Linked DNA regions of Rhinolophus ferrumequinum. The protein of the gene in region 1 interacts with the protein of each later gene in a pairwise test. Links are inferred from orthologs where the notes say so. Each region holds a gene or a part of one and is shown in the gene's direction. Other genes may lie near its edges. The genes, in order: SNCA, ARFGAP3, myomegalin and TOR1A.

Region 1 (7,969 bases):
CAGCAGTTATATTAGTGGCCAATGGCTCATTGGTTACAGGTGATGGCCAACTAGCCATCCAATCACAGTTGATGGCCATTTACTACCTGAGCCAGCACCTTTCCACGTGAGGCCGAGAGCCTGGAAACTGCGCTCCTGGCTCTGTCCCCACAGGAACTCATGAATAATATTTAAATATTTATGAAGAATTATTAGACTGAATATATAGACAAGTTCTTGTCCCACTTTTGGGAAGATAATCAGAGAAATTTAACTCAAGTGATGTTTATAAAAATTAAAAATAGACAATTGATTAAATATATGTTACAATGTAATGTTTTATAGTAAAAATGACATCACAAATCTGTATTCATTGACATGGATAGTTTTTGATGTTAAAGTATTTATCAAATAACCATTAAGAAACAATTTCTTCTCTGAACAATTTCCCTTTCTTAATCTCAATGATAATGTGTGGTAACAAGCTATCAAAACATTAATGATATGCTTTTTAAATAGCGTGGAAGAAAATATCTAAATGCCACTGCATATGCAAATTATCTGTAGAGAAAATATATTAGACGCCTGGATAATTTTGATATTATATGGAACATGCTCCTTTTATTAGTTTCCTATGATTTCTCTCTTGGCAAAGGCATTATTTCGGTCCAAAACACTGCGCAAATCATTATAAATTCCCCTGAAATGTTTTTTTATCCATTTATTTTCTGCCTTTCTGAACACAAATGCAGTTGAGACGCAGAAGTAGATCTGTCATTGTCTTATCAGTCTGTCCGTTCTTCACTCACCTGGAACATTAGAGGCTGAGTTTATCTCTGAATTGGATATTCATTCTGAAGCCTTTTTAGAGCTGCTGTCACAAGTCTGGCAAACTTGGAACACCATTTGTTACATCATTTTATTTTGCTCCCTCGGCAAATCAACAGAATTTATACAGAGCTCTTACACTGCGCCTTTAAAGAAACCAGGCTCCAAGAATATAAAACTGTCAATAAAGATAGAGAATATTAATTCTACCACTGTCACTATATTTCTTCGGGCTACTGATGTGATCTGCTGTGAATGATGTTACTGTAATCCACATGTAGTGCAGGGGATCCTGCCGACTACGCCAAGTGTCGTGCGGGGTGTCAGGCGGGGTCTCTGGTCCCACTCCCCACACAAGAACGCAGGACATGGTGAGGCCAAACAGGAACACCCACGGAGCCATAGGTAGGGGAGTCACACCACTATACTCTCACTGGCGGCTGGGTTGGAGACACAGGAACCAGGAGCAACACAATTCTCAACCCTCACTGTGCCGCTTGCAGACTCAGCCACCATCTTCTTGCTAGCTCCCCCTTTTTTTTCTTTTTTTTGCTAGACTAGCCACCGCAGTTATATTCATAGCTAATGGCTCACTGGTTACAGCTGACGACCAACTAGCCACAGCTGCTGGCCATTTGATCACAGTCGATGGCCATTTACTACCTGAGCCACCACCTTTCTATGTGAGACCGAGAGCCTGGAAACTGCTTTTTGGGGCTCTGTCCCCACACCACATATTAGGGTGAAAAAAGAGATTTTGGGCAGATTTTATATTAACGACTCCTATCAATGCTCCTTGAATCCCCCCATACTATCTCCTCACAACTTCCATCCATGGTGGGAAATGTTTTACCTAATACCATAGTAAGCCAAAGTTATTGATGAGGAGGCATTAGAGAACTTAAGTGTGTTTAGGGTGAGATGGGAGGTTGGGGGGGGGATGGGAAAATGTTGAAAACTACTACAATGAAAAAAGTATTTCTTAAGGCACCCTAAAACATGGGGGGCTAGATAATAACTACTTGTATCGACAGATTCCACTGTGCTTTGTTCTTTACTAAAACTATATTATTTATTCTTTACAACAATCACACAAGTAAAATGTCATCCTCATTTTGTCAATAAGAAAATTAGAGATTTAGAGAGGTTAGATACTTGCTCTGGATTAGTGATACCAAGTTTAACTTGTATGCAGTTTCTCCACTCTTAGAAGTCAACCATGTTCACCAGGTTGTAGTGCGTTTCTTGAACTCATAAATATATTTCTCCTTCTAATACTTATCTCTACTTTTTCGATCCTAAAATATTTAAATATCTCTTCTGTCTGACTTTGAAGATTTTAACTTGGATTCTTGCATGTCCTCATAGCTTTAGTACCACAAAAAGCACAGGGATATTTAAAATGATATACAATTTAATTTTACATACTTTGCATGGCACTTTCCTGTGGTCACAATTTCTACATTGTTGAGGATATATTAATATTATCATATTAATAAATATGATAAACCATATTATGCTAGAATAAATGTCCATTATTTTGTGCTGCCAACAGTACTGTAACAACAACATGAAGTTGCCCCTGGTGTCAAACTAGAGAATCTTCTTTGAATGCTATACTCCCTCTTCATTGCTCTTTATATCTCTTTCGAGTAACCCTATTGCCCTGTTTCAAGCTCAGCCTCTTTCCAAAATCATACACAATGCCATCCCAACTATATGCATTAGGCTTTCCCCTCTATGCCTACTAGGAAATTACAAGGGAGCCAACCAAGATCTCACTACCTCATATTTTTCATACATTTGCATAACATGAGAGGAAGGTGCAAAGAGAAGATAAGAAACAGATTAAAATCTCTTTAATCACTCGGTCAGATTCCTCATTTTTCACATCATTTCATTGCAGCACAAGCTTACTACATGGCACACCTAAAAATCCGTGTTTAATGAGAAGACAAAGAGAGTTTAGGTTAACTATGCATTTCATAGAATGTTAATCTGTAACTAATTTACTGTATTAAACTCAAATACAACAATCCTATATAAGAGTAGCAAAATATTTAGAATTCATTTGTCAAAGAGAAAGCCAATCATGTATGATGTACACTAACAAGACGTACACATTAGTAATATTTCCCAATAGATCATTCTTCTATATCCCTTATGAGGTACAGGCCATTCAATAAGATTATTTTCAAAGTTATATTCAGAGAGTTAAAATTTTACTCAAGGCCATGCTATCAATCAATGATGAAAAAAATCTTTAGTAGCAGTCAGTTCCCTTCTTTGTTCTTGAGTAGTTCTGCCGCTTTACGAATACAGAGCTAAGAGACTACAGGTAGAACATAAATAATGTCACTATTAATATTATTAGTAATTAAAAGTTTATTGATTGCTTACTATGTTCAAGGCACTTTAAGGGGCGAAAAGAGGAGTGAAACATAAACTTGTAATTTAAAATGACAAAAAAATTGTTTTGCATTTTTGTGCGTGTGGGGGTTGTGAGGAATCATCTCCCCCTGCTGAAAATGACCAATATAGAAAAGGCAAAATGTCAAATATGAAGGCACTGTTTTATAATAACATAAATTCTCCTGGATTTCCATTGTCACATCCAAATTTAAAGGTTATTTCTAACACAGTTGGATCTCACCTTTTCCCTCCCATTTGATAACATAACCCATCTGTAAGGTTCCAGAGAGTAAATGCTAATTCTGGAGACAAATGTGCCTTCTGGAACAGTTCCTGCTAGATTATCTCAGCTCTGCTACTCAAGAACTAGATAATCTAGTTCTGTTACTGAAAATTTTTTAGCTTCAGATTCCGTCTATAAAACATACATAATGAAACTTAACTAACCCACTTGTTATGATTAAATAATATAGTACATCAGTCCTTTGCCAAGTACAATTTAAAGGTTTGGAATCATGCTGTCCTATAACAAAGACAAAAAAGTAACGACTGCTCAAAATAATTCTCTCATTGGTCTGCAGTGGGGCCGAAAATATCAGTCATTTTCTCCCCTTCAGAGGTTCCTGTTAAACTATAAATATGTCATATGAAATAATATATTAAATAATTGTCATAACAGTCTATCAAGGGACCTAGCTGTGATGGGTCACAGTGGAAAACATTTATCATTGTCAGTAATAAAAAAAAAATAATAATCAAGAGCAATAAAAAGAAACAAACTACTGATATATGCGACAACATGAATGAACTTCACACATTATGCTGAGTGAAAGGAGCCAGATATAAAAAACAACTTCATACTGTAGGATTCCATTTTTGAAATTCTTGAATATGTACAACTAAGAAGGACAGGAAGGAACTTTCTGGGGTTGTGAAACTGTTCTGTCTTCAAAATGGTGTGAGCTACATGAATGCATATGTTTTTCAAAACTAATTTGAAGACCTTAAGATTTGAGCATTTCACTGTCTATAAATTATACTTCAGTTAAAAAAAGACCATCTGAACATTATTGTTATCCATTTTTAGTTCTTATCTGTCATGGATGCATGGTGAAATATTTACAGATGAAACAGACATATGTAATTCTTGGAATTTAGTAAAAAATGCAGAAGGAGAAGTGATAAAAATTGGAAAGTGGACAGGCATACAGATGATTAGCCATAAATTGAAAAATGGTGGAAGTTGGGTGCTATTCACAAGAGAGTCTTTTATTTTCTCTACTTTTGTATATGTTTAAACATTTTCCATAATAAAAGGTCAAAAAGAGAAGTGTTATTTGGGTTAACTCCTCATTTACAAGAAAACTGAAAGAGGACAAAACTTGTAGAAAGTCTCAAAGCCAGACAACAAACCAATTTTCAAGTTTAACCTTCTTTTCTCTGACCCCAAGGAAACAACAGGAGAGTTTTGGAAAGGCTACTTTTAAAAAGGGTAGACCAGTGATGCAAGGAATTGTTTAATCAATAATGTATACTTGCTTCCTGTCCCTTTCGGTTTCAAATGGTTGTTTTGTAGATTTAAATTGCATTTTACTCAGATTTCAAACACAAGTGAGTGCAAGGGTGAAAGAACACACCCCCACAAAATAAATAAATAAATAAATAAAAACGCATCGCAAAGACTTATTTTTCCCTTCCAGTGCTAAAAATCACCCTCCCAACCAGGCAAAAAAAAAGCAAAGACATTCTGTTAGGAGGAGCTTGGATCTCCATTCGGTGTGATCCGGGAACAGCTTTTTCCCTCCAGCTCTGAAAGAGGTGAAAATGTATTGAGCAATGCAATAATTGTCTTGAAGCCTGCGCGGGTTTGTCGCGTGTTTGTGTGTCTCCGTGTGTGTGTGTGTGTGTGTTGGGAGAGGGGGGGTGTCAGCTCCGAGGACAGCGTGAATCAGGTGTCAGAAAGGTGAGTGGTGTGTAAAATCGCGGTTTCAGAAGAGATCGAAGACGAAATTGGATGTAATGGTTCAGGAGCATAAACCACGCTAGGTTTGTCTCCTGCACCAGGCACTTGAGTCTTCAAAGTAAATTCCATTTCGATGTCTAAAAGCCTTACGACCACTTGGTTTCGACGGCTAAGGAATATTTATTCCTTGTTCAGCTGATGGGAAAACCTGCGTCTGGCAGCCCCTGATTGGTGGAAAAGAAAATGGTGATAGTGGAGTGGGAAGAGGATTTGACAAGCCTTCTCCTGCCTCCTCAACCTGTAACTCTTCCTTATTTGTCTCCTCTCTACCCGCAGGGCCCTTTCGGGTACAGGCAAGGTTCAGAGCAAACGAAAATAGCGGATATTTAAGCAAAAGCACCCTTAACGTTGGGTCCTACGCTCATTAATCAAATTTCAGCGATCCGAGGGAAACGTGCTCTTGGCGGTGCCAATGTGAGCAATCTTGAGCTGTCTCCTTCAGCAGCTCCCCAAGAGCTTGGCTCTATCTTTGGTGGTTGATCCCTCAGACCCCCACGCCCCCAGGTAGGTTCTGACCTGGGGGTCCCCGTGAGGATCCAGAAGGAAAGGCAGAGACAGGGGAGGGAAAGAGGTAGAGAGATGTCAGCCAAGCTTAACGGCTCCGGATCGCCCCAAGAGTCCCTGTGACTCTGAACTTGAGGTGAAGCTCAGAACACCCCCACCTTCCCGCCTCCCAGGACCAGGCGGGCGGCAGGAGCTGAAGGTACAGCATTCCCCCCGCCCCCACCCCATCTCCTCCCCATCCAGAAGAGGAGTGAAGTGCAGGCAGCGCGGAAAGCAGCGAGAGGCAGGAGAGGGGCGGGGAGAGGCGCTGACAAATCAGCTGCGGGGGCGTTGAGCAGAAGAGGAGGAGGAGGAAAAAGAGGAGAAAGACCGCGACGACACGAACGGACCCGAGAAAGGGGGCGAGTGACCGAGCGAGCGCGGGGACGCGGGTGAGGTGTGTGCTGGTTTCAGCGCCGACCTGGGGGCCCAGCCTTGCCTTTAGCATCCTTCGTGCCTTCTCCCCGCCTTCCTTTCCATCCCTCTATCTCTTTCTCTGGGATCCTCTTGTGCGGGGTACGGGGAGTGGCTATTCGACGACAGGTTCGTGGGTTGCCTCCCATGCCCCTGGCCTCTTATCGCTGGGTTGTGCTGACAGCGGCCTCCTCTGGGGACCATCCTTCTTCTGGTGCCGCTTCGCCCCTTCCCGTGCGCTCCTTACCCACCCTTTTTCCATTTAAATAATATTTGGGAATTGTTTAAATTTTTTTTACGGGGTGTGGGGTGGTATCGTAATTCTGAGGAACAGAGGGACTCGGATAAGTACCTGTGGATCTGAATGGGCAGCTTTGGAAAGCCTGGAGAACACCTGGTGGGAGAGGAGTCATTGGCAAGGAGAGGACGCCTGGCAAGGGGGTTGGTGCTGCAGGCAGAGAGGACCCGTTCTATCTAATTTAGGAGATGGGTATGTCCCTTTGGTCGCTTGAAGAAAGTAAGTGAGTGACCAGGCTTTCCTCCAGCTTTACATACTTCCCTCGTCTTGTCCTCAGAAGCTGAGAGGTCAGGCTTCTCAGGGAATCGCTTTTCCTTTGGGAAACGCAAGGATGTTGGATGGAGCGTGAGCATCCAACTTTATTTCTCTCTTATCTTTTAACACCCCAGCACGCCCTCACGGTTCTCTCAGTACAGTAAACAACTACCTGTGTTTGGCAAATAATTAAATGGAAGTGCAGATCGGACAAGTCAACAGGTGGTAAGGGGTTAACAGGTGCGAGGCAGGGAGTAGGTTTACGCGCGCGCAGAGAACACCCCCTCCGGTGTCGGGCGAGAGTCTCTCGGCTGCCGGCGGGTGTGAACAGGCGCCTGCTCCGTGTAGATAGCTGAGGGCGGGGGTGGATGGTCCTGTGGATTAGAGCGACCGCGGGTGGGCTCTCAGAGGGCCTGAGGTTCAGCCACACCCAGGGTGAGTAGGTCTCTTCCCCGCTCTCCCTGGTCAACCTATTAGCCCTCTTCTTGGATTCATTTTAAGTGTCCTTGACCCCATGCCCCCAGCTCCCTTTCTTTCCCTGTGATCTATCTTCTAAACGTACTTCTAACTTTATACTGCCACCGTTTGGACCCTGGGAAGTTGAAAGAGGGGTCCATCTTTTCATGCACCTCCACTTTGGAAATGCAGCAAGAACAGCTGAGATGATTCATCCTAAACCATGTTTAGGCGGCTAGACTTTTACTAGCCCAGATGGATAGGGGTGCTAAATTTGTTATGGAAAAGCTGAAAGAAAAAAGAAAAAAAAAAAAGACTTCATTATCTAAGGGTACATTTAAAAGAGTCTCACCCTTTGGGGAGTTTTACTGACCTTTCAGGGGATTTTACTTTGGGTGGTTATAGTTTTGTTTTGTTTTACCCAAAAGTTCTCATTCAAAGTGCATTTTGTGTTCTCCAGTGTGGTGTAAAGGAATTCCTTAGCCATGGATGTATTCATGAAAGGACTTTCAAAGGCCAAGGAGGGAGTCGTGGCTGCTGCAGAGAAAACCAAACAGGGTGTGGCAGAAGCAGCAGGAAAGACAAAAGAGGGTGTTCTCTATGTAGGTAGGTAAGCCCCAAATGCCATTTTGGTATTTATTTATGACTGATGGGTTAGGATAATTGATGCTCTCAATGGTAGTATTTCTCACTTGATTCATTTTTTCTTCATCACTTGTCAAAAGGATAGACTGAGTCAGAGATATGTGACTGTGTATGTT
Region 2 (7,085 bases), on another chromosome or scaffold:
TTTTGAGGGTTCTCTGAGTTTCCTGGATCTATAGTTTTATAACTTTCATTTGTTTTGACAAATACTCACCATTATTATGTCTTCAAATAATTTTTCTGCCCATTCTCTCTGTTTTCTCCTTGTGGGACTGTAAATGTTTGCTATTTTCCCACAGCTTTTAGATGTTCTGTTCTTCTCCCCACCCACCCCTTCTCTTTGTATTTCAATCTGGATAATTTCTGTAGATCTTTTCCATGTTTCTCAGCTGTGTCAAGTCTCCTTATAAGGCCATTGAAGGAATTCTTCATGTCTGATATTGTGAGGTTTCGTTGTTATTTGTTTCTAGTATTTCCATTTGACTTACATGTACTTTCCATCTCTCTGCTGGAATTTCCTATTCTTTCATATATGTTGCCCACATTTCCACTAGATTATGTAACATAATAATCATAGTGATTTTCAAGTCCTTCTCTGACAGTTCTAACATCTGGAGCTTCTCTGAGTCTGGCCCTATAATCTGTTGATTATTTTATTCCTCGACAATAGTTGTTTTCCTTGCTCTTCTGTGTGTCTCATAATTTTGTTTGTTTGTTTGAATACTGGACATTGAGTACGGAACAGTGGTCCTCAACCAGGGGCGATTTTGTCCCTATAACAAAGAATTATCTAGTCCAAAATGTCAATAGTGCTGAGGTTGAGAAACCCTAATGCACAAAAATACCGTCGGAAGTAAATAGTATTTACAGTTTAAAAAAGGGCCCACTTCTGTCAGGTTATTAGTGTGGGGATTGCATTAATTTAGGTAGGAGTTAAGCTTGGCTTTGTTGTTGCTCTATTTACCCTCAGTGCACCACAGGATGTAACCTTGTGCTTACAGTACGGGCTAGGGTCCTAGAGTTGTTTACTGTCGCTCTTGTCCCGCCCTGTGGTAGACTGCTGCTGCTTGGTACTTAGGGCTGGGCTCAAGAACGTGTGGGTGGAGGTTCTCTGGTGACCTGGTCCAGCCTGTCTTAGGCCTGTGGGCCTGGGGCTCAGGGATAGGACTTTCTCAACATTCCTGCCTTCCTTCTGATGACAGTAAACCTGTCATGGTGTCTGTGGTTGGTGTTGGTTGGAAGTTTCCTCCCCCTCTTCCAGTGTAGCCAACCTCAGTTTGGTATGGGTATAGGATTCTGAACCCAAAGAGTTTCCTGAACTTCCCCCAGGGGTTGAGGAATTTTGCTTTTATCCTTCCTCCTGCAGCAGTGAAATTTTGTCTCTTTACCCTCTTTAAGAGAGAGAGGATTTCTTATTCCCTTTTGGACTTGGTATTCCGAGGTTTTGCTTCTATTCCTCCTGTGGCAGAAATGGATATTTGTCTGTCACCTGAAGGAGAGTTTGCTGCTTTTGCTTTTTAGAAGTATGTGGGGGTTTGTGCCTGTCCCTCAACAGCTGGATGCCTGCCCCACAAGGGGTTTCTCTGTCTCCATCTTTCTTATGAAGAAAGATTTCTGGTACAGGTTTATGGAAAAGAGCTTGTGAATGAATATAAACTCCCTTTATGTCGGAGGCGCCCTAACTACTCCAAATGCTAGCTCACATTTCACCTTTAAGAATATTTAAAAAATTTTTTATTGGGGAATATTGGGGAACAGTGTGTTTCTCTAGGGCCCATAAGCTCCAAGTCATTGTCCTTCAATCTAGTATGGAGGGCGCAGCTCAGCTCCAAGTCCAGTTGCCGTTTTCAATCTTAGTTGCAGGGGGCGCAGCCCACTATCCCATGCGGGAATTGAACCGGCAACCTTGTTGAGAACTCACGCTCTAACCAACTGAGCCATCCGGCTGCCCCTCCGGAAGCTCAATGGTAGCTGGTTATCTTCAATCTAGCTGTGGAGGGCACAGTTCACTGGCCCATGTGGGAATCGAACCGGCAACCCTACCGCTCAGAGCTCGTGCTCTAACCAACTGAGCCACACAGCCACCCTGGCCTTTAAGAATTCATTACACTTTTAGGTGACCTCCTCTTACTCACTTGCATGGCAGCCACCTTTCTCCTGTGCTCTGCCAAAGCTAAGGACTTCTCGTGTGCATCTCTTTTTGGAGAGGCTTGTCTCTCTTGGAAGTCAGTTTACTTGGTTGTTTTGTAACCTCAGCAATCTGATGGGCTCAAGAGAAGGTATGACTTTGTAGATTATGCAAGGCTTTTTCTCATTATGATATTGGGAGTGACGCTCTTTACACATTTATACTTTCTAAGCCCATTCCACAAATCTTTGTTGGATACATTCTACACGCTAGGCATTGTTCTAGGTGCTGGGGTTAGAGAGGTAGACCAAATAGATCTGATCTCATGAAATTTATATTCAATTGAAGGGCGGCAAATATATTTACGTATTATAGTATCAGGTGGCAATAAGTTCAATGAAGAACACGTAAGCAGATGAGAGAAGACAGTGATGGTATTTTCCCCTTCCCTTACACCTGCTTATTCGTGTGGACACTATCTATACTTCCTCGTACTTTTTGTCTTCTCCGAAGGGATCTCTGTGTTGAAGAGTGGAGTAAACACACCCTGCCCTAACCTGATACATAACTTAGTAAGATTTCAGCTCCAAACAGTAAATGGGACCATCATCCCCATCAGAAGACTGTTCATGAATATGCCAGGTTTTCTATTTAAGGCCAAACTAGTACCAACAGACACAAAATACAGGGGTATATACTTGGACTCAGTGGAAGGAAGAACTTTCAAATAGTCATAGCTGTCTGCAAAAATAAAGTACTGTTCTGGAAGGTAATAACTTTCTCTTCCTTGGAAAAGTTCCATCCTAGTCCTGGCAAACTTTCAACTTCTCCGAGGGTATGTAACCGGATAGGTTAAAAGTAGACCATCACCAAAGGCTTTTCCAGGGCTTCTCTCTGGGCAGCTGCTCTCCTGTGCTGCTCAGCACGGATTCTTCATCTCTAACCCCATCGTACAGATGAGCAAACCAAGCTTCAGAGAACAGAAGTGACTTGAGCAAGATCACAGAGCTAAGAAGTAGCTGGCAGGACTGGGCCTGGTGCCAAGGTATTGCATTTGATTCCAAAACCTGTTATCTTTCCTTGCACCACCCAACCTCAGGCAACAGTTTCTGGTGGCTCCACACCCACTTTTGTAAAAGAAACCCCTTCCTCCAAGTTTAAATCCTTCTAGCGAGTAATGTTAGCCAGCGGGTATAGATCAGTCTGAGGTGCTGGAAACGTTGAGCTGCTTCTCGTCTGTATTCGATTCTGACTGAGCACTTTTTGCCTCCTGACAACTGCTCTCTCTCACTGACCTTCGACCCAAACTGATATTTAGAGAAAACCAATTTTCAGCGTAGAAAGCTCCCTACCCAGGGCAAGAAAAAGGGGATGATGAAAGTGAACTGGCATTTTAGGATTCTTAACCACGGAGCTGGAGGGACTTGTGGGTGGAGCCGGGCCCTTTGTTGGCTCTGGTCTGGACTTCCTGTTGAACTCTGTGGCAATTTCCCGGGGAGGGATGCGAACAAAGGGAGAAGCCATGTTGACGCTGGGTTCCTTTTTCCACGTGGGCCGCCGGAGGGCGGTCCGGGCTGCAAGTGTGCTGGCACTTCTGGGTGGTTCCGTTTCTTTTTCTTTTCGCGAATAAACCCGTTTTCTTTTGGTGGATTAGCTGGAGAATGATTAGGCCAGTCGACAAGGACTAGTGAAAACCCTGCGTCCAGACTCCAGTCCTCTGTCAGAAACGGCGGGTAGGCCCTTTCCCAGGTTTCCTCCTTTGTCACTTCAAGTGACTGGTTCTGCCGCACTTACGGGATGGAAGTGAGAAGACCTTGGCCACGGAAGCAGTCCGTTACGAAGGCCACGCGCACGGGACGAAACCCAACCCAAGCTCAGGTTCGCCACCCACTGCCCTGCACGAACGGCAGACGAGGACCTGGAAAACGCGCACGAGCCTTCTGTGCACGCGCGTGCAGCGCCGGAGGCGGGGCTGCAGTGGGCGGAGCCAGCGGCACAGCGGAGCGAGGCACCCTAGAGAAGAACGGCGCGTGCGCTCCGTTGTGGGCGGGGCCATGGGCGGGACCTGGCCGTCACGCGAAGCCCCGCCCCCTGGGCCGTCGTCTAGCTCCGGGAGGCGGCAACCGCTCCTTGTCAGCCCTTCTCGGTTGTAGGGGCCAGCTGCGCCCTCGGTTCTCTGGTGACCATGGGGGACCCCAGCAAGCAGGACATCCTCACCATCTTCAAGCGCCTCCGCTCGGTGCCCACCAACAAGGTAACGGCCGCCGGGCGCGCTCAGGTTTGGTTGGCATCCCTGCCGGACCCCGCGGGCCGCCCCTGCGGCGCCAGTGGCCGCGGCAGTGGGAGGAGGAGCCGGTTTGGGCTGTGACACGTCGCACTTGCGGCCGCTGGGCCTCTCCTGGGTCCGGACCGCTCGCCGCCCCCCAGTCTCAACAAGGAAGGGGCGGGGAGGGTCGCACACAGGGACTCGGGCGGGGCGGCGGCCAGGGTCCTGGGGGCGGGAGGCGAAAGCACCTGGGGGGTCCTGGGGGCCGGGGGCAGACACTTGTGGGTTCCGGAAGCCGGGCCAGGGCGGGGGCGGCTTTGGGGGTGGCCGAGTGGACACTGTCGAGTTCCTGAGAGAGCTGGGGCCGAGATCGGGGACCCCGAGAGAGCTGAGAAGGATACCCGGGGTCCCTACGAGTGAGGGCGACACCGCAGGCCACCTGTGACCCAGCTGGGAAGCACGCAGCGGGTCAGAACTCCAGCTGGTAGCGCTGGGCGTTTGGAAAACTCAGCTCGCTCCCTTCCCCACTCGTGAACTCATCTCTAAAGTTCTCCCGGGGGCGCCTGCGGGAGCCTGCCTGGTTCCCTCTGTCCTTTGATGGCAGCGTCAGTGTCTCTGATAAAGCTGCCAAGTGGTCTGTGCAGTGGCTTCCAGCTCTTTTCTCTTGCTAAGAAAGCCCACACAGACCCTTTCTCTTTCTTCCCCTTGGGTCTCTTTGGAGATTGGGGGTTTCCTTTTTTTGCCATATCCAGAGGCTCTCCCCCGCCCCCGTGACTTTTACAACTTTTCAAAACTGGCTGGAGATGTGATGACACATCGGGCTAAAGTGACACCCTCCGCTGAGGATCACAGGTCGGCGTGGAACCTGGAGAGTGCAAAGGGCTGTCGCGTCAGTGTGGACTCTCCCCTCCCTTCCTGTGACAGTTCTGTCTGTTCCCCGTGGTCGCCTCCAAAGTGAACAGCTGTTAAGGAGCATGGTCACAGGAGCCATGACGTGATGGCAGAGAAAGTTCCTGAGTTTTACAGAATTTAGGTGTCTTTGTTTTAAGTCTTGATGGGGGAGGGGAGCGCATCATTTTGCAGCCTACAGCCTTTTGCAGAAAGGGAGCCCTTTATTGGAAGTGATGTCTGATGGAGGTAGGAAAGTCAGGAGGAGAAGGGCTCCAGGAATCCTCCAGGGCTGATTTCTGTGCTAGTTTCTTGATTTTCAGGTTTAGATTGACCCGTTTATAAAGAGTGGTTCCTGTAACTTGAATTCTTCAAAGGGAAGGTGCCCTTTTCAAATAAGAAGTCAGTGCCTTTCTACCAAGAGACACTTTGAGGGACACGTGTGGCTTGCTTATAAATTGTTATCAGGACCCTGCTACTTTCTGTGTCACCTTGGGCAGGTTACTTGACGACTTTGTACCTTGTTTTCCTCATCTGAAAATGGGACATGAGCAGGATCTGACTCAGAGGGTTATTGTGAGGATTAAATATTTGAGAAAATCAAGGAAAAGCAATTAGAGCAGTACCACCGTATACTAGTCTTCAATACACATCAGCTCTTTTTTGTTATTGTTATTTTTATTATGAATAACACACCTGTGGAACATTTTATATGCTGTAATGGGATTAATAAAAGCATTGAGCAAAAATATTTTCTGGTAATGTTCCACACTACATTTTTTTGTGTGTGTTACATTTCTTGATTACATTTTCTTACATTTTATGGTTACATTTCTTACATTTTTTGGTGTGTGTTACATTTTTTGATTAAGACTTTTTATTCGATCATTAGTAAGAAACCATTACCTAAACAAAGATGAAAACTAGTTTTAGAGATGTGGAAGAGTTGTAGGACACGAAGCATTTTCAAAATGGGGTTCTGAAAAGGAGCTGTAAGGTACACGAGACAGGAAAGGTAGGTAAAGAAAAACAAGGCGGTTTACTTTCAGAATGTGGTGTCCAATTGCTTCCTCTCGTGTATGATGACCATTTACTCTGGACCAAAGGTTTTAACTCTTAAGGGTCAGCTTTCTAGTTTGTAAAATCCCACCTTGAAGCTATACTGTTCCTTAGTTTTATATTGATTCCTTAAGTTATTCATTCAACAAATATCCATTGAGCACCTGTGGTGTGCTGGGCACCGTGCCAAGCATTGAGGGTACACTGATGTACCCTGAATAAAGAGACAGGCTCCGGCCTTCTCGGAGTACACAGTCCGGTGGGTGAAGGATGAAGGCTGCTGGCTGTGTGAGAGGCAGTGTGATGATGGATGAAGAGGGGGCCGGGGCGCAGACTGCCTTGGGTCCGGTCCCCGTGATACCCCTTCTTAGCTGTGATACTTAATTTCAGAATTCCTTAGTTTTCTCTAAAATGGGGGTCAAAACTGCACTTCCTGATTGGCATGAAAATGCAGGGCCCTTGTTTGAAAAGTATTAAGAATTTCAAGATGAGACAGGAGAACGTGAAGCAGTCATGGGCCCTTCTGAGTACGGGGCCCAGATCACACACACCCAGGAAGCGGGCCCCGATGGGGACGACAACCGTACCTTCTTATAGGGTTGTTCTGAAGATTTGATTGGCCAACGACAGTGCCTGACAGGGAGTAAACAGTCAATATTAGCTTCTTTCTATAGCAATTATTATTCTCATCATTAGGCAAAACAAATTGTTAGTCAAAACTGTTTTTCGTCACCATAATAATTAATACTCTGCTTAGAAAAGCATGTCTCAACTTGGGTTTGGGATTTTGTATGAAAACAAAGAGCAGTCCCACTCTCAGCGCAGTGTCCTGCGAGCAGGAGAATCAAGGCGGTGTGTGAGAGCCAGGCTTGGATTTCTAACTGCTTCC
Region 3 (7,192 bases), on another chromosome or scaffold:
CAATGTCATAACTAAGGCAATGAAAACCTAATAAAACTGGCTTGAGACATGGGGATTTTCCACATCTCATTCTCTTGGAAACTCCTTCCTCACCCAGAATTAGGTCTTAGAAACACTACAACACAGAGGGTACAAAAGTGGCTAAGGTTCTAAGAGAGCCTTCCCAGGGCTCCATGATCTGGAGATCAAAAGAGAGATAGTGCAAAAGATCCTGGCCATACTAATATTTAGGAAGTTTGTTCCAAATTAGTGATAATTCTCTAACGTCAACACTTTTGTAAGTAGTTCTTCGTTGATGGGTTTTCCCATTTATCTGCAGAGTGTCTAATCTTTTGACTGACATTTTACTGAATACAGTTTAGGATTGTTTTAATTCAGTGGTTTTCAAAGTGTGGCTCCCAGACAGCAGCCAACAGCAGGATTTGGGAATTTATTAGGAAAGCAAATTCTTGGGTCCCACCCCAGACCAACTGAATCAGAAACTCTAGTAAGTAGGTCCCAGCAATCTCTGTGTCTTTACAAACCCTCCCTGATTCCAACGTACGCCAAAGGTTGAAAACAACCGTTTAAATTCAACATTTGTAGATTAGGAAATTAAGGACCAGTTATTAGTGATTTCACCTAGGACATACAGCTAACAAGTGCTTGGGAGTGCACTCATCAATCCATTTTTGAGGGCAAACTGCTGATATAGCAAATGAATAATTTGTTTAATTTATAATAGTTTGTCACAATATGAAACCTGTTCTCAAATTTTCCTTTCTTATGTACCTTTGATACGTTTTAGAAATAATCATCCTATTCTAAATGATCATAAAATCCCGAAATCTCACCTTAACAACATGGCATGCTTCAATCGTAACTGTGTGGTGTGCACAGACATATAATAGTTTCCAAAGCTCATATGGATAGGAACCATAAAGTTTTGAATGTGCAATTGGGCCTTTTATAGAAAGAGTTCTAGATTCTTCTGGGTTCTAATGTATCTTCTCAATTTTCAAACCTATTCTTATGATAAAGTGGGGTTTACTTTCTACCAAAGAAATCCATCAGATAAAAGTTTATGGGTAATATATATTTTTATATTTATATACCCCTTTTTATCTTTCTATAAATTGAACTATACCAACATGTATAAAATCTACAAATCTAAGAGTTCAGTATATGAGCTTTGATGGTTGTACACATCCATGTAACCATCACCCAAATCAAGATAAAGAACAATTTCATCACCCCAGAAAATTTCTTTGTACCCCTTTACTGTCAATTCTCACCCTATCTCGTCCCCTAAAATCACTTCCTGAATTTCTCGCACTATAGATTCTTTTTTTGTTGTTGTTAGACCTAAAATAAATGGAATCTCATGGGACGTATTGATGGGTATATGACTTGTTTCATGCTTCATTCATGTGGGCATCAAAGTTCTTTCTTTTTTATTGCTGGTTAGTACTGCATTGTATGAATATATGAAAATGTGTTTTTGCTTACCTTTTTCTTAGTAATAATTTTTTTTCTTATCACGAAAGCAATACATGCTTATTATAGAAAATGATAGAATATCAAGGAGGAAAGACGAAAATAAGCATCCATAATTCCATTCTCTAGACATAATTGCTGTTTAATAACTTGTATATTCCCTTTGAACCTTTGTTTATATGTTGTGCACATATATGTAATATATATAGTTATCACGTTACAAAGATTCTCATTTTAGGTTCATGTTTTACTACTTAGACTCTGATACTCGTGTGTTAAATTGGCTCAGTTCTTAGTTTTTACTATAGAATATTCTCTAAATTTAAAAAAAATTAAAAAATAATAGACGACTACACATTCATGGCCAAAAATTCAAATGACACGTGGTATATAGAATAAAAGTAAATGTTCTTGTTGAGCCCCACCCCCTTTTGCTTGCCTTCCCATACGTAGCCAGTGTTAACTAAATACAAAATCTTGACCAAGATGACATTCGTGAGGACCGTGAAATGCTGAATTTATTATCTCTTATCTTAATTTTTAAATTTAGTATTACAGTTTTCTTCTATGTTTTATTTTTCAATTTTTGCGTTCAAGTTTTGCTGTCTACACACCAGTGATCTTTTAGTTGGGATGAAATGATTTTATAATAACAAATGATTATGTTAGGACTATTTCTAGTACTAAAGTTTACTATCCATTTTGAAATATGGTTTTTACATATTTTCTCTAGGAGTGAATAGAGTGCTAGCTTCAAATTTTCTTTGATTGAGTGATTTATTCCGATCTGTTGTTGAAAGCCTCGATATGTATAGCTCTCTCTTTTGGTATGTTGATCTGTACTTATAGCAAACAAATTCTCCAATGGTAAATCGCCTTTTCTCCATTTATACTGATTTGCACTTCTACACGAAGCTGTCTATATACTCATTCAAGTTTAGAGACGCTCGGCCAGATGCACAATTTTATTAAGGAACAGAGAATATTACAAAGTATTCTTTAGTTTGCTCCTGAAAAGCACTTTGTTTCATTAGCATTTTCACCCCCTGGGAAAACGTGGCTTGCATTCAGTCAGAGATGAGGCTTGATTAATTTGTTAGGAAATTTTTGAATTTGCACTTTTATGGAGTTTTGAGTCCTTGCTGCTGTTTAGGACAATACTTAAGACAGCGTCAGCAGGGTCGTGTCCTGTAGGCCAGAAACACCTTGCCTCTCTTTAGATCATATAGATTCCAAAGACTGTTGTTTAATTTCTTCTGACTTTAGAGTTCCTATACCTAGAGGCAGGCAAAAATGCAGCTGAAATGAGTTTTACTCTTTTTCTCGTCTTTGGTTTGAGGGCCAGAACACGCAGATTTAGGTGAAATCACATACGCAAAGTTTTGGAGCCTGTGAAGCCCCAAAGCTCTAAGGACTGACCTGTCTTCCAACGGAGCTACTAAGATTTTTGTTTTGGTGATTAAAATAAATGACAGAACAGTACAATCTTATGTGTGTAGAGCCCCATAAAGTTTTAAAATTACTTTAAAATAGTCCCTTTATTACAATATCAAAATAACAGTATTAAATATTAAATATTAAATATTAAAATTACAGTATTAGCTATTATTTAAGGAGCTAAGCATTGTTACAAAGTACTTCCCCTAAATCATCTCATTTAACCCTCGAGACATTTGGAGGCTTTTATGAGCTCTCACTGAAGGCATTTGAATGTCTCCAGGCTTAGGAATGTGGGTTCTGTCTTGCAGATGAGGTTCAGCAGTGCTTAAATACTGTTGTTTGCCTTGACCTCTCACAAGGTCAAGTTAGTGACATTTAGCATTATTGTCACTGGGAAATGTGCTCCAGGTGATTGCTGGGTCGGTTTTTCTTCCTGTTTGGTGTCTGCCTGCCTCTCAAAGCCAAGAAAATTCTTTAAAAGTACATTAACACCTGGATCCCTCCTGGTCAGAGCTCCGTGTTCCCTCCAGTGTTTGCTTGCGCCCAAATTCTACACCCAAGGTTGGGTGACTTACAACTGTATGGTGGTGAATAAGACATGGTACTAACTGAAGTCAGTGCAATTCCCAGCCCTAAGTCTGCACAGAGCAGCACGGCCTCACACGCTGGACGCTTTTGTTCCAGAGTCTGTCTACCCTCTCCACCCCTCAAATAAGGACTGTAGTCTACCTGAACCTGAAAGAGAACTGGGTGACGGTAATCTACTCTCAGGTGTCTACATTCTTGAAAAAGTCCATTTTGTCTGCTATTATCTACAAAATCTTGGTTAACCAGCTGCATTCACGTGGTATTTCCGGGACTCTTTCTCAGGTGACTGCTTTGTGCCTTCCCTTGATTTCTTTTGTTAAAAAAAGGGGGGTGGGCGCAAGTCATCAGAGTGCTAAAACCCACCACCCACACCCTCCAACACTTGTCTTCTTCTGTACATACTCCGGATAGCCGAGGGAGAGGTAGAACGGAGCCTCCTTAAATCCGCCCTACCTGCCTCCTCTGGTTTAAGAACCCTTTCTCCCCGCCGGCCTCTGCAGCCGCAGGGCCTTTTAACGCAGGCACCGGCCTGGGGAGGGAGAGGAGGTGGGGCCGCAGGCGGGAGGGGAGCGGCGCGCAGCGGTACCTAGTGGCGCGGCGCGGCCCGGCGGCTCCATCCGGAGTACGTGGCACTAGCCGTGGGGAGAGAGGGAGGGGATTCGGCTTTCTCTTCCCCACGCAGCGCCTCGGGACATCCTGCAGGGGCGACAGTGAGGATCCAGGAGGGAAGTGGTGCGCTTTTTCGGTGGAATCTCAAACGATGAAAGTGGCCTGGCGGTAGTCAGCGTCCGCCCCGCATTCCCCTGGGTACCCACTGTGAGCCAGGTCTGTGTTCCACCGCGAGGAGCGGTGACCCGATTGGGGGGTGAGGGAGACGCGGTCGCCACCCCGCATGCGCAGAGCGGGGGTGCGGCCTCCAGGACTACAGTTCCCAGAGGAACGTGCGGGTGGCCGCAGGCGCGAGCCGCTGGCGCCATCTTGAAATCTGATCCTCAATCTCCGAGCCTTTGCGTCAGCGGCCGGCGGCGGCGAGGGGACGGCGAGCCCAGCCCGCTAGAAGCGAGGACGCTGAGGACGCGGCGGCTGGCGGGAGAGACAGCTGGCGGAGACATGGCAGGTTCCGAGCGCGGCCTGCGCGGCTGTCACTCAGCATCCCCCTGAGGCGTTTCTCCGCCCGCGCCCTCCCCGAGGGGCGGGGCCGACCACTCTGGTACCCAGAGCTCGCGCGCGGGGCTCGGAAGAGGGGCGCCCCTGCACCGTGGGGACCCCCCGGGGCTGTGCCATGCCGGCGGGAGGCCACCGAGGCGGGAGACGGAGCGCAGCCAAGCGCCAGTGAGTGATCGCCGAGCAGCGGGCGCCTCAGGGAAGCGCGGCAGCCGCCGGGAGGGAAGATGAAGGAGATTTGCAGGATCTGTGCCCGGGAGCTGTGCGGGAACCAGCGGCGCTGGATCTTCCACACGACGTCCAAGCTCAACCTCCAGGTTCTGCTTTCGCACGTCCTGGGCAAGGATGTCTCCCGCGACGGCAAAGCCGAGTTCGCTTGCAGCAAGTGTGCTTTCATGCTCGATCGGATCTACAGATTCGACACCGTTATTGCCCGGATCGAAGCCCTTTCCATCGAGCGCTTGCAGAAGCTGCTGCTGGAGAAGGACCGCCTCAAATTCTGCATTGCCAGCATGTATCGCAAGAATAACGATGACCCTGGCGCGGAGCCCAAGGCGGGGAGTGGGACGGTGGACATTTCCGGCTTACCCGACGTGAGGTACTCTGCATTGCTGCAGGAAGATTTTGCCTATTCGGGGTTCGAGTGTTGGGTGGAAAACGAGGACCAGATCCAGGAGCTCCACAGCTGCCACGCTTCGGAAGGCGCTGGACACCGTCCCAGGAGATGCCGCGGTTGTGCAGCTTTGCGGGTTGCCGACTCTGACTATGAAGCCATTTGTAAAGTGCCTCGGAAGGTGGCCCGAAGTATCTCGTGCGGCCCTTCTTCCAGGTGGTCCACCAGCATTGGCACTGAAGAACCAGCACTGTCCGAGGTGGGGCCACCGGACTTACCCGGCACCAAAGGACCCCCCGATGGCGAAAGCATGGAGGAAGGGACACCGGGATCCTCAGTGGAATCTTTGGATGCAAGCGTCCAGGCTAGTCCTCCACAACAAAAGGACGAGGAGACTGAGAGAAGCGCCAAGGAACTTGTCAAGTGTGACTGTTGCTCAGATGACCCGGCTCCCCAGCCTGTGTGTAACCACAAGCTGGAGCTAGCTCTTAGCATGATTAAAGGTCTTGATTATAAACCCATCCAGAGCCCCCGAGGGAGCAAGCTTCCCATTCCGGTGAAATCCAGCCCACCTGGAGCCAGGCCTGGCCCTATCATGACAGATGGAGTTAGTTCTGCTTTCCTTAACCGGTCGTTGAAACCCTTTTACAAGACACCTGTCAGTTATCCCTTGGAGATTTCAGACCTGCAGGAGCTGTGGGATGATCTCTGTGAAGAATATTTGCCACTCCGGGTTCAGGTATACAAAATGGCTACATCGTGCTTCTTTGATCATAGTTTTCTGGCCCCCAGGCTTCACGTGATTTCTGTCTAGGTGAAGGTTAATAATAGTCTAGACTGAAGGATATTATTTCTAGAATTAAGAAAATAATCATTGCACCCATTTTTGTTGCACCTTTTGCTTGTGTCCCATTTAAATGAGACCCAGTAAATGTGTCCCAGTAAAGGAGATTCACATTCAATTTGCTTTTCATAATCCTCTTTGTAACAATATTGGCCTTCCCATTCATTATCAAAACTGCAGACCTTTCAAGACAAAAAGATAAAGATTTCTAATTCACGTTTACCCAATGAAAAGACATATAATCTTACTTCTGGCACTAGAACTCTTCCCTCCTTCCCCCTTCTCACCCCCTTTTTTGTTTTGTTTTCGTGTTTAGATTTGTAGATGTTTTCTCTCATTCTGTAAGGGAGTTAGTTCTCCCTGAAACATTAAACCTTTTATCCCCGATACGCCTCAAACAGATTAGAGCATAGGGTAAAGGTTTGGGGAAAACCTATTAATTCACCAAAATATTGTAACATGTGGACAATATTTATACAAAAGTAATAGGTCATTTGAGGACTAATGATGACTTGCTCATAAAAGAGACTTGGGAATTCAAGGGTTGTCATTTAAAATGTTAAGGCGAAAACTGTTCCCAGCCCGTTAGTCTATTGAGCTTCTTTAGGAGATGTGTAATGATATTAAGAGAGGATTCATCCATTATTGAGTGATAGGAAAGTTTCATCCATTATACTCTCTGAATTTCTTAATGACCAGGATATGGCAATTGATCTTAGTTTGAGCTGTTCATATCTGCCGAATTGATTTCGTGCCAGCCTTTTAAATTCAGCTATATACAGGGACCTGACAGATGCTGTTGTGTTTCTATAGCAACAGTAAATGCTAGGTTCAGTTAACTTTGTGAAACATCTGGTATGTTCTACTTGATACAAATTCTTTAGTGATACCTTTACAAGGGTGGACAATCTAGAAGGCATTTTTGGAAAGCCTGCTAAGGTCAACATCATCCTAGAAATTTAGAGCTAGGTAACAAATGAAATTGTAAAATTGTATCCAATAAGAACTTAAGCAGAAAATGGGAGACGTTTTTCAATTTACACAAAATTGTCAGAAACAGCGTATGT
Region 4 (7,183 bases), on another chromosome or scaffold:
TGAGCGGCATCCCTGAGGTGGACCTGGGCATCGAGTATGTTTCAAACCCACGATCTACCTCTCCCCTGCCCCTAGGCTGGAGGAAGAGCTCTCTGCTTTCCAGTTCAAAGCTGAGGGGACTGTTTCTTACCTGTTTCCTTGGAAACCTACACAAACTGTATTCTCTCTGGTGGGCTGAGATGGTGGTCCCAAAAATTTCTCTGAAGAGTTGGTCAGAGTCGTAAAAGAGACTTAGGGACCCTGACTGCTGAAAGCAACAGTGTTTATTTTTATTTAGCCTTTGTTCACAGGCCCTTGTATTCTGTTTTATTCTAGCAGGAGCAATGTTAAAGACTTAGCCACCCCGTAATCTTTATCTTTTTTACTACAGAACATCTGCTCTGAAAGGGATGCCTGTGGAGGAGATACAGTGGTCAGAAACATCTTTGGGTGTAGTAGAAAGTTGGGAGACTTCTGAGTTCTTGCCTGTTTTCTGGCCTTTCTGGCTTCAAGCCTTAGACCATTCACTTTACTTGGAGGCTCACTTTCCTCTTGATCAGAAGAGGATAACTCCCCACCTCTCCAATAGTTGTGAGAGCTCCCTGAGAATGTGGCCATAAGGCCCCAAGAAAGACGGTTTCCTCCTGCAGTGGTAGGCTGCCAGTCTCACCGTGCATTTCCTTCTGAGGACCAGAGGTGTGGTGATCTAATGCGTGGCATGGCTCCTTTCTTCCCATAGTGCTAAAATAAAAAATATCATTTCCACGGAGGATGCCAAGGCCCGTCTCCTGGCAGAGCAACAGAACAAGAAGAAGGACAGTGAGACATCTTTCGTGCCCACCAACATGGCGGTGAATTACGTGCAGCACAACCGATGTAAGTTCCTCTGGGGAAGCAGCCCCGCTCCTGCGCCCATTGGTTTGAGGTCCCCTGCTTCCCATGTTTTTTGTCTGACGTGTCCGCTGATCTCTTTTGGTCCAGTTTATCACGAGGAGCTCAATGCCCCCATTCGGAGAAACAAAGAAGAGCCCAAAGCCCGACCCTTGAGAGTGGGTGACACAGAGAAGCCGGAGCCCGAGCGTGAGTACAGCAGAGGCCTCGGCTCCCTGGAGCGGTCACATTGCTCAGGGCCCATGGAGGGGGTGGAAGTTGGTAGGGGTGGAGCTTGGCTTTGGGGCCAGAGCAGCTGGGTTTCAGTCCATGCTCTGGACTATGGTCACGTGCCTTCCCCTTTCCAAACCTCAATTTCCTCATCTATAAAATTGGGAGAGTAATAAAACCTACCTCTTGGGGTTGCTCTGAGGACTCACTGGGCTGTCAAATATAAAAGAGACCCCCAAAATTAGAAAATTTTCAATAAACAAAAATAAAAGTTATTTATAATTTCACCACCCAAAGATGACCACTGTTAACGTTTTTATGTATAACCTTTCAGACTTCTTCAATATTCACACATCTAGGAAACATTGTATATACACTTACTGGGGTCTCATAGCGTTTTACTCACTACTGCACCCTGCATGTCTGTCCATGACAGTAAATACCTACTTTCCTTTTCACTGGCCATGTCACGTTCCATTGCATAGACAGATCCACTGTAGTCTATCCGTTTACCTCTGGTTGGACACTTAGGTGGTTTCTCACTTTTCCTTTGTTACACAGTGTTTCGGTGGTCATTCTTGATGACATCATGTCCGTAGGCTACATTCTAATAAGTCGCCAAATGATAGCCGATAGTCTAGAAGTGTGATGCTCATGTGTTTTCTCAGCATCCGACAGTGCCCCTTCCCACAAGCTGACCGGCACCAGGAGGGCTCATCTTTTTTATCAACAGTGGGATGATTCGAAGGAAATGCAAAATTTGCTGAGGCTGTTACTCTGTTTCTTCCTTCCTCCTTGAGAAATTATTTTCTGTAACATCTTGGTTTTACAAAACCAAGGTCTTTGATACCTTGGGTCTTTGATTCCCAAAGAGCTTCATGTGATTCACATGTGGGGAGCAAGGCCTTTGGAGTCACCAGACTTGGGTTCAACTCTCAGCCTATTTCCACTTTCTGAGTGACCTTGAACAAGTCACCTAACCTCTGAGCACAGATGGTAACATGCCCCTGCTACGATTGCTGTGAGGGTTAAAGGAAGTCATGTCTGAAAGGATTTAGCACCATGCCTGGTACATAGTCACACTCTCAGTGAAGCGTAGCTACTACTGTTCACCAGTCTAATGCTGACGTCAGCATATTTTGGCTGGCCCTTCACCACATTCACTCAGTAACAGGTATTTACTGAGGCCCTATTCCGTTTCTGTTATTAGGGTAGGCACTGGGGCTCCTGTGGGGAATGAGACAGGCATGGTCCTTTCCTTTGTGGAGCTAAAGCCAATCGGCGACTTCCAGCGTGGCAAACAGCTTTTCCTCTCTGCCTTCCCAGGGTCCCCTCCTAACCGCAAGCGCCCCGCTAATGAGAAGGCCACTGATGACTATCACTACGAGAAGTTCAAGAAGATGAACAGACGGTACTGAGGGTGGCGAAACGGGAGACGTGCAGCATGGGGTGTAAATAAATAGCACTGCTCCCCGCCCCCTTTTCCCCCCCATGATAAAAGCCTTCCTGGTCAGAAACCTGATCGTTTGCTAGCAGACAGTTCCCAAAACAGATTCTATTAGTCCAGCTGCTTACTTGCTGGATTTGTTTTTGAAACAAAACAATACGTAGTTTTCTTATTTGGGGGCAAACTGTTCTTGTGAGCATTATTAAATCTTGTTTGTAAATATGTTGACTTCCTCTTAATATTTGCCCTGGGTCAGGAGGAAACAGCGGTGTGTTCAGGGTGAGATACAATACCCTTTAAATTGTGCTTTTATTGTATATATAATCATGCCTTCCACTTTCAAATATCTGGAATAGGGTTTAGAGATGCATCCTTCGTTGTTTACGGTGGATCCAGCTGACAGTGAAAAATGTAGGATAGCATCAAAGGGACACTGGTATTTTCTGACTTTTACAAAGTTACCTGTTTCTCTTCAATAAGAAAGAAAATAATTTTTATCATCTCCAGCACTTAAGTATTAAATGTAAAATGAATCCAACCTTTTTGTTTGTATTGTGTCTCCTTACACCAACACTAGGTAATGTGTTCAGTGTGCAGGGGTGGGGCAGCTCCAATGCAAAACTGAGTTACTGAGACAGATCTTCTCATTTAGTTCAAGAGACATGGATAGGCCCCAACCTGTTAGCTGTCAAGTATGATGCCATATGTGCTGTCATTTTTCTGAGGAATTTAAATAGCTCAGGATGAGGAAAGAGCATGTCGGTTGATTTGTGGGCTGATTTAGAGTAGGCGTTGTGGTTAGAGAAGTTTGGTTTGGAGTCAGATCTGAGCTCTGCTCACAGCTTATTATTATATCCTTGGACAAATCCCTTTCCCTCTGAGCCTCATCTGTAAAATGGAGACCTTTTTTTCATTTTTCTTTCCCTCCCCTAGAATGCAAGGTGAAGGGAGGAATTATGTGTTACTCATTGTTTTCTTGAATCCCCAGGGTCTAGTCCATAACGTGACACATAGGCAGGCTTCAAAGCTATGAATGAGTGCAAATAACTTTACAGTGGAGAAACTGACAAACACGATCTTATCCAGTGATGAATTTCAACATCAATGGTCATAAATCATGTTGACAGTCTATACCCTTGATATAATGTTATAAAAATAGCACTTTGTATATTCTTCTCCAAAACTCATAACCCCAGTCTAACCGAGATAAACATCAGATTCCAGTAGTGTCACATCCTACAAAACGTTTGACCAGTACTCCCCAAAACTGTCAAGATCATCAAAAGGAGGCAAGTTTGAAAACCAGTCATAGCCAAGAGGAGTCCAAAGAGACATGACAACTAAATATAACGTGGTGTCTTGAATGGGATCCTGGATCAGAAGTGGGACATTAGGTAAAACTAAGGAAGTCTGAACAAACTTTAGTTGTATATCAATATATAGGTTCATCAATCTAGGTTTATATGTAACATACAAATGTAAGCTGTTAAAAGGGGAGACTGTACCATGTGGGGAGGGGTGGTGACTATGAGACCTCTCTGTACTGTCTTCTCTATTTTTCTCTAAATCTAAAACTTAAATTTTATTTTAAAAACACTAACGTGGCCCCAGCGGCTTCCGGCGCCCACCTCCCGGAAGCAGCAAAGGGCTCTGCCCCTCACAAAGATGGCGGGCGCCGGCGACACGGGAGGAACCGGAAGCGCGGTCTAGCGCGAGCGCGGGCCCGTGGCAGGCTCGGGACGCGCACGGAGGCGCGGGTCCGGGCATGAAGCTAGGCCGGGCTGCGCTGGGCCTGCTGCTGCTGGCGCCGGTGGTGGTGCAGGCGGTGGAGCCCATCAGCCTGGGACTGGCCCTGGCCGGCGTCCTCACCGGCTACATCTCCTACCCGCGCCTGTATTGCTTCTTTGCCGAGTGCTGCGGCCAGAAGCGGAGCCTCAGCCGGGAGGGTAGGACGGGGCGAAGGCTGGGGGCTGGGGTCGGGGTCAGAGGCGGGGGTCGGGCCTCGGGGGCCAGAAGCCCGGACAGAGCTGAGGCCAGCGGGGCCGCTACGCGGAACCGGGACCCGGAACCCGAGGGCCGGAGGGTGCGGGGTGGGGCCACGACCGCGGACAGACTGGACTTCGGTCCGACAACAGGAGGCGAGCTGCGGGTTGGGCTGCTTCCCGCAGAAACGGGGGGTGTGGCAGCTGTAAACGCCCTCCAAAGAGTTTTGCGCCTTCTTGGCTGGAGACCGGAAGGATGGTGCGGGACCTCCTGGTGCGGACCCGTGGTGGCCAAACTGCAGCCTTCTTCCTGCGCGGCCCTGGGGCAGGAGGAGCAGAGCTGGGGTGAGGGGTGCACGCTGGTGGCAGAAGCAGTGGAGCCAAGGTCCTTTTCAGGAAGGAGCTAGGCTCCTGCCAGGGCTGTGGAATGGGCAGCACTAGCAGAGGAGATGCCTCCTGGACCCACCTGCCATCCTGGGCCAAGTGCTTACATACCTCATTATTTCATAAGGTGCTTGAAGAGCTTAGCTGGCTTTCACATGAGCCTGTTAACTTGGCTAAATTTTGCTAGCTGTGTGCCCCCCAACCCCTCCATGACTGGCTTTGTCTTTCCCAGTGCTGCAGAAGGATCTGGACAGCAAGCTCTTTGGACAGCATCTTGCAAAGAAAGTCATCTTAAACGCCGTGTCTGCCTTCATAAGCAACCCGAAGCCCAAGAAACCTCTCACCCTCTCCCTACACGGGTGGACTGGCACTGGCAAAAACTTTGTCAGCAAGATCATCGCAGAGAATATTTACGAGGGTGGTCTGAACAGTAACTTTGTGCACCTGTTTGTGGCCACATTGCACTTTCCACATGCCTCCAACATCACCCTGTATAAGGCAAGGGCAGAATTTCAGAACCCTCCTGGATGGTGCTGGGTTAGGGGGTATCTTGGTTGTGGGGTGAGACCTGAGAATTGCATGTTGAAATGAGTGAGCTCTGAATATGGCTGCGTGTGTCAGTTCCCCTTTGAGAGGTGTGGAAGTTACAGAGGGTTGGAGACGCATGGGGTAGTTAGTTACACTGTCAAAGCTTTATGGTTTCCAGAAATAGGCCCAGTGTGATTCTCATTTTAGTAAGTGAGGTCGTAGGATTTTAGAGATGGACATGATCAGATCCAGCTTAAAGATCATTAAATCTAACTCATTTTGCAGAGGACACGTTTCTAGAGAGGCCTAAGTTTGTTTAACTGCAGTGTTGCAAACTCCTTTTACAGTTTAACTCTGAATAGCCTGTGTTTTGGCAGCAACCCACCTGGACTTAAGTCCTAACTACCTTACCAGTTGCGTGATCTCAGGAAAGTTACCTGACCTCTCTGAGTCTGAGGTTCTTTATCTGTAAAATGAGGGTTGTAAGAATTCAGAGAGCTCTGTCAAGTGTGTGTCATGGGATCTGGCTGGCACATGAGTGTTCAAGTAAGAGTGAACTATCGTCTTTTTTAATCCATGTAACAAACCTGTGAAGTGGGCAAGACGCTCAGAAATTGAGCCCGCACCCATGCGAACACATTTTTCCCTTCTGCTTGGGGGAACGTGAGGGTCACCAACTGTCCAGGGTTTCCCAGGATGTGGGCTTTCCAGTGTTAAAACTGGGAAAGTTCCAGACAAATTGTGACAAGTTGGTCATCCTAGTTAGCATTCAGGCTCCACTACGTAGCTGTGTGACTTTGGGCAAGTTACTTAACCTCTCTGTGTCTCAATTTCCTCATCTGTAAAACAGGGAATGCAATAGCATTCTATTGCACACAACTTGCATGCATTTGGAGAGATCACAATAAAACGTTACGGGAACAGTGCTTAGGACAGTGACTCAATACATGTTCTCTGTTAACTGCCTGAAAATTGGGGTAACAGTGAGAAAACCTTGGCTGCTCAGGAGCCTAGCAGATCTGAGCGAATCCCTGTTTAAATAGTGACTCACTTTGGGGTCTCACACAAGTTGCTTCAGTTCTCCGGAGGCTCCTCCTCTCTAAATAGAGGCTAGTTAGTCCATGCCTACAGAACAGAATTACTGCTTAGGTTAGATTTGTACACGTGGAACATTGTAACCGTGGTCATAGTAGCCAAGCAAAAACCAAAGCCATAAAAAATCAAGATGTACATTGTAACGTCCAAAGTCTTCCTCAGAAAACAGCTCATTTCTCCACCTTGGGGATGAGGGGAGGTCTAGGAAAGCAGTATATATAGAACCATTGCTCAAATTTTGATTAAAAGGGTCTTTTCTCCTTACCTTGATTGCTTAGTGTTGTAAGAAGTATCTAAATATATCCTTATGGAATGTTTCTGTTTCAACCAATTTATTTCAGAAACCGCCAGGCATTGCTCTAGAAACTCAAGAGTGTCAGTTAGCTGACGGCACTGGTGCCAAAAGCGCGTGTGTTCTCAGGTTCAATTGCCTCGTTAAAGGAGCCTGCATTTCTTACTTTCCCCATCGGAAAGTGAGAGAAACTTCTCCAGGCTATTCTCCAGAATAAGTTTGTCTCTGCCTTCTTCCTAGAAGGCTGGTGTACACAGGATATGTGCTAACATTGCCATTTGAATGACAAAGGACCAGCAAGTCAGTGCCACAGCAGCAGTGTGACATCTCATAGCACAGGAATTGTAATCAAACTGGGGCTTTGCAATCAGATGG

The links.
Region 2: the proteins of SNCA (region 1) and ARFGAP3 interact in binary tests that used the Homo sapiens proteins (3 or more experiments, as listed by UniProt). The link is inferred for Rhinolophus ferrumequinum from reciprocal best matches to the Homo sapiens genes SNCA and ARFGAP3.
Region 3: the proteins of SNCA (region 1) and myomegalin interact in a two-hybrid assay, tested with the Homo sapiens proteins (2 studies listed by BioGRID and IntAct). The link is inferred for Rhinolophus ferrumequinum from reciprocal best matches to the Homo sapiens genes SNCA and PDE4DIP.
Region 4: the proteins of SNCA (region 1) and TOR1A interact in a two-hybrid assay, tested with the Homo sapiens proteins (2 studies listed by BioGRID, with this or other methods). The link is inferred for Rhinolophus ferrumequinum from reciprocal best matches to the Homo sapiens genes SNCA and TOR1A.

Annotation. Positions count from the first base shown.
Region 1 is NC_046288.1:43,471,575-43,479,543, reverse strand, and holds the start of SNCA (alpha-synuclein), read left to right. Parts: upstream 1-4,963; 5' UTR 4,964-5,037; intron 5,038-5,518; 5' UTR 5,519-6,177; exon of another isoform or gene 6,178-6,182; intron 6,183-6,189; exon of another isoform or gene 6,190-6,328; intron 6,329-7,063; exon of another isoform or gene 7,064-7,187; intron 7,188-7,668; 5' UTR 7,669-7,693; coding exon 7,694-7,814; intron 7,815-7,969. UniProt on the Homo sapiens protein: Neuronal protein that plays several roles in synaptic activity such as regulation of synaptic vesicle trafficking and subsequent neurotransmitter release.
Region 2 is NC_046293.1:5,520,877-5,527,961, forward strand, and holds the start of ARFGAP3 (ADP-ribosylation factor GTPase-activating protein 3), read left to right. Parts: upstream 1-4,077; 5' UTR 4,078-4,168; coding exon 4,169-4,237; intron 4,238-7,085.
Region 3 is NC_046305.1:49,320,719-49,327,910, forward strand, and holds the start of myomegalin, read left to right. Parts: upstream 1-4,176; 5' UTR 4,177-4,895; coding exon 4,896-6,020; intron 6,021-7,192. UniProt on the Homo sapiens protein: Functions as an anchor sequestering components of the cAMP-dependent pathway to Golgi and/or centrosomes.
Region 4 is NC_046295.1:78,213,228-78,220,410, reverse strand, and holds the start of TOR1A (torsin-1A), read left to right. Parts: upstream 1-4,183; 5' UTR 4,184-4,292; coding exon 4,293-4,473; intron 4,474-5,125; coding exon 5,126-5,391; intron 5,392-7,183. Other genes in the region: C12H9orf78 (splicing factor C9orf78 homolog), read left to right, coding at 1-34, 719-855, 961-1,059, 2,407-2,498. UniProt on the Homo sapiens protein: Protein with chaperone functions important for the control of protein folding, processing, stability and localization as well as for the reduction of misfolded protein aggregates.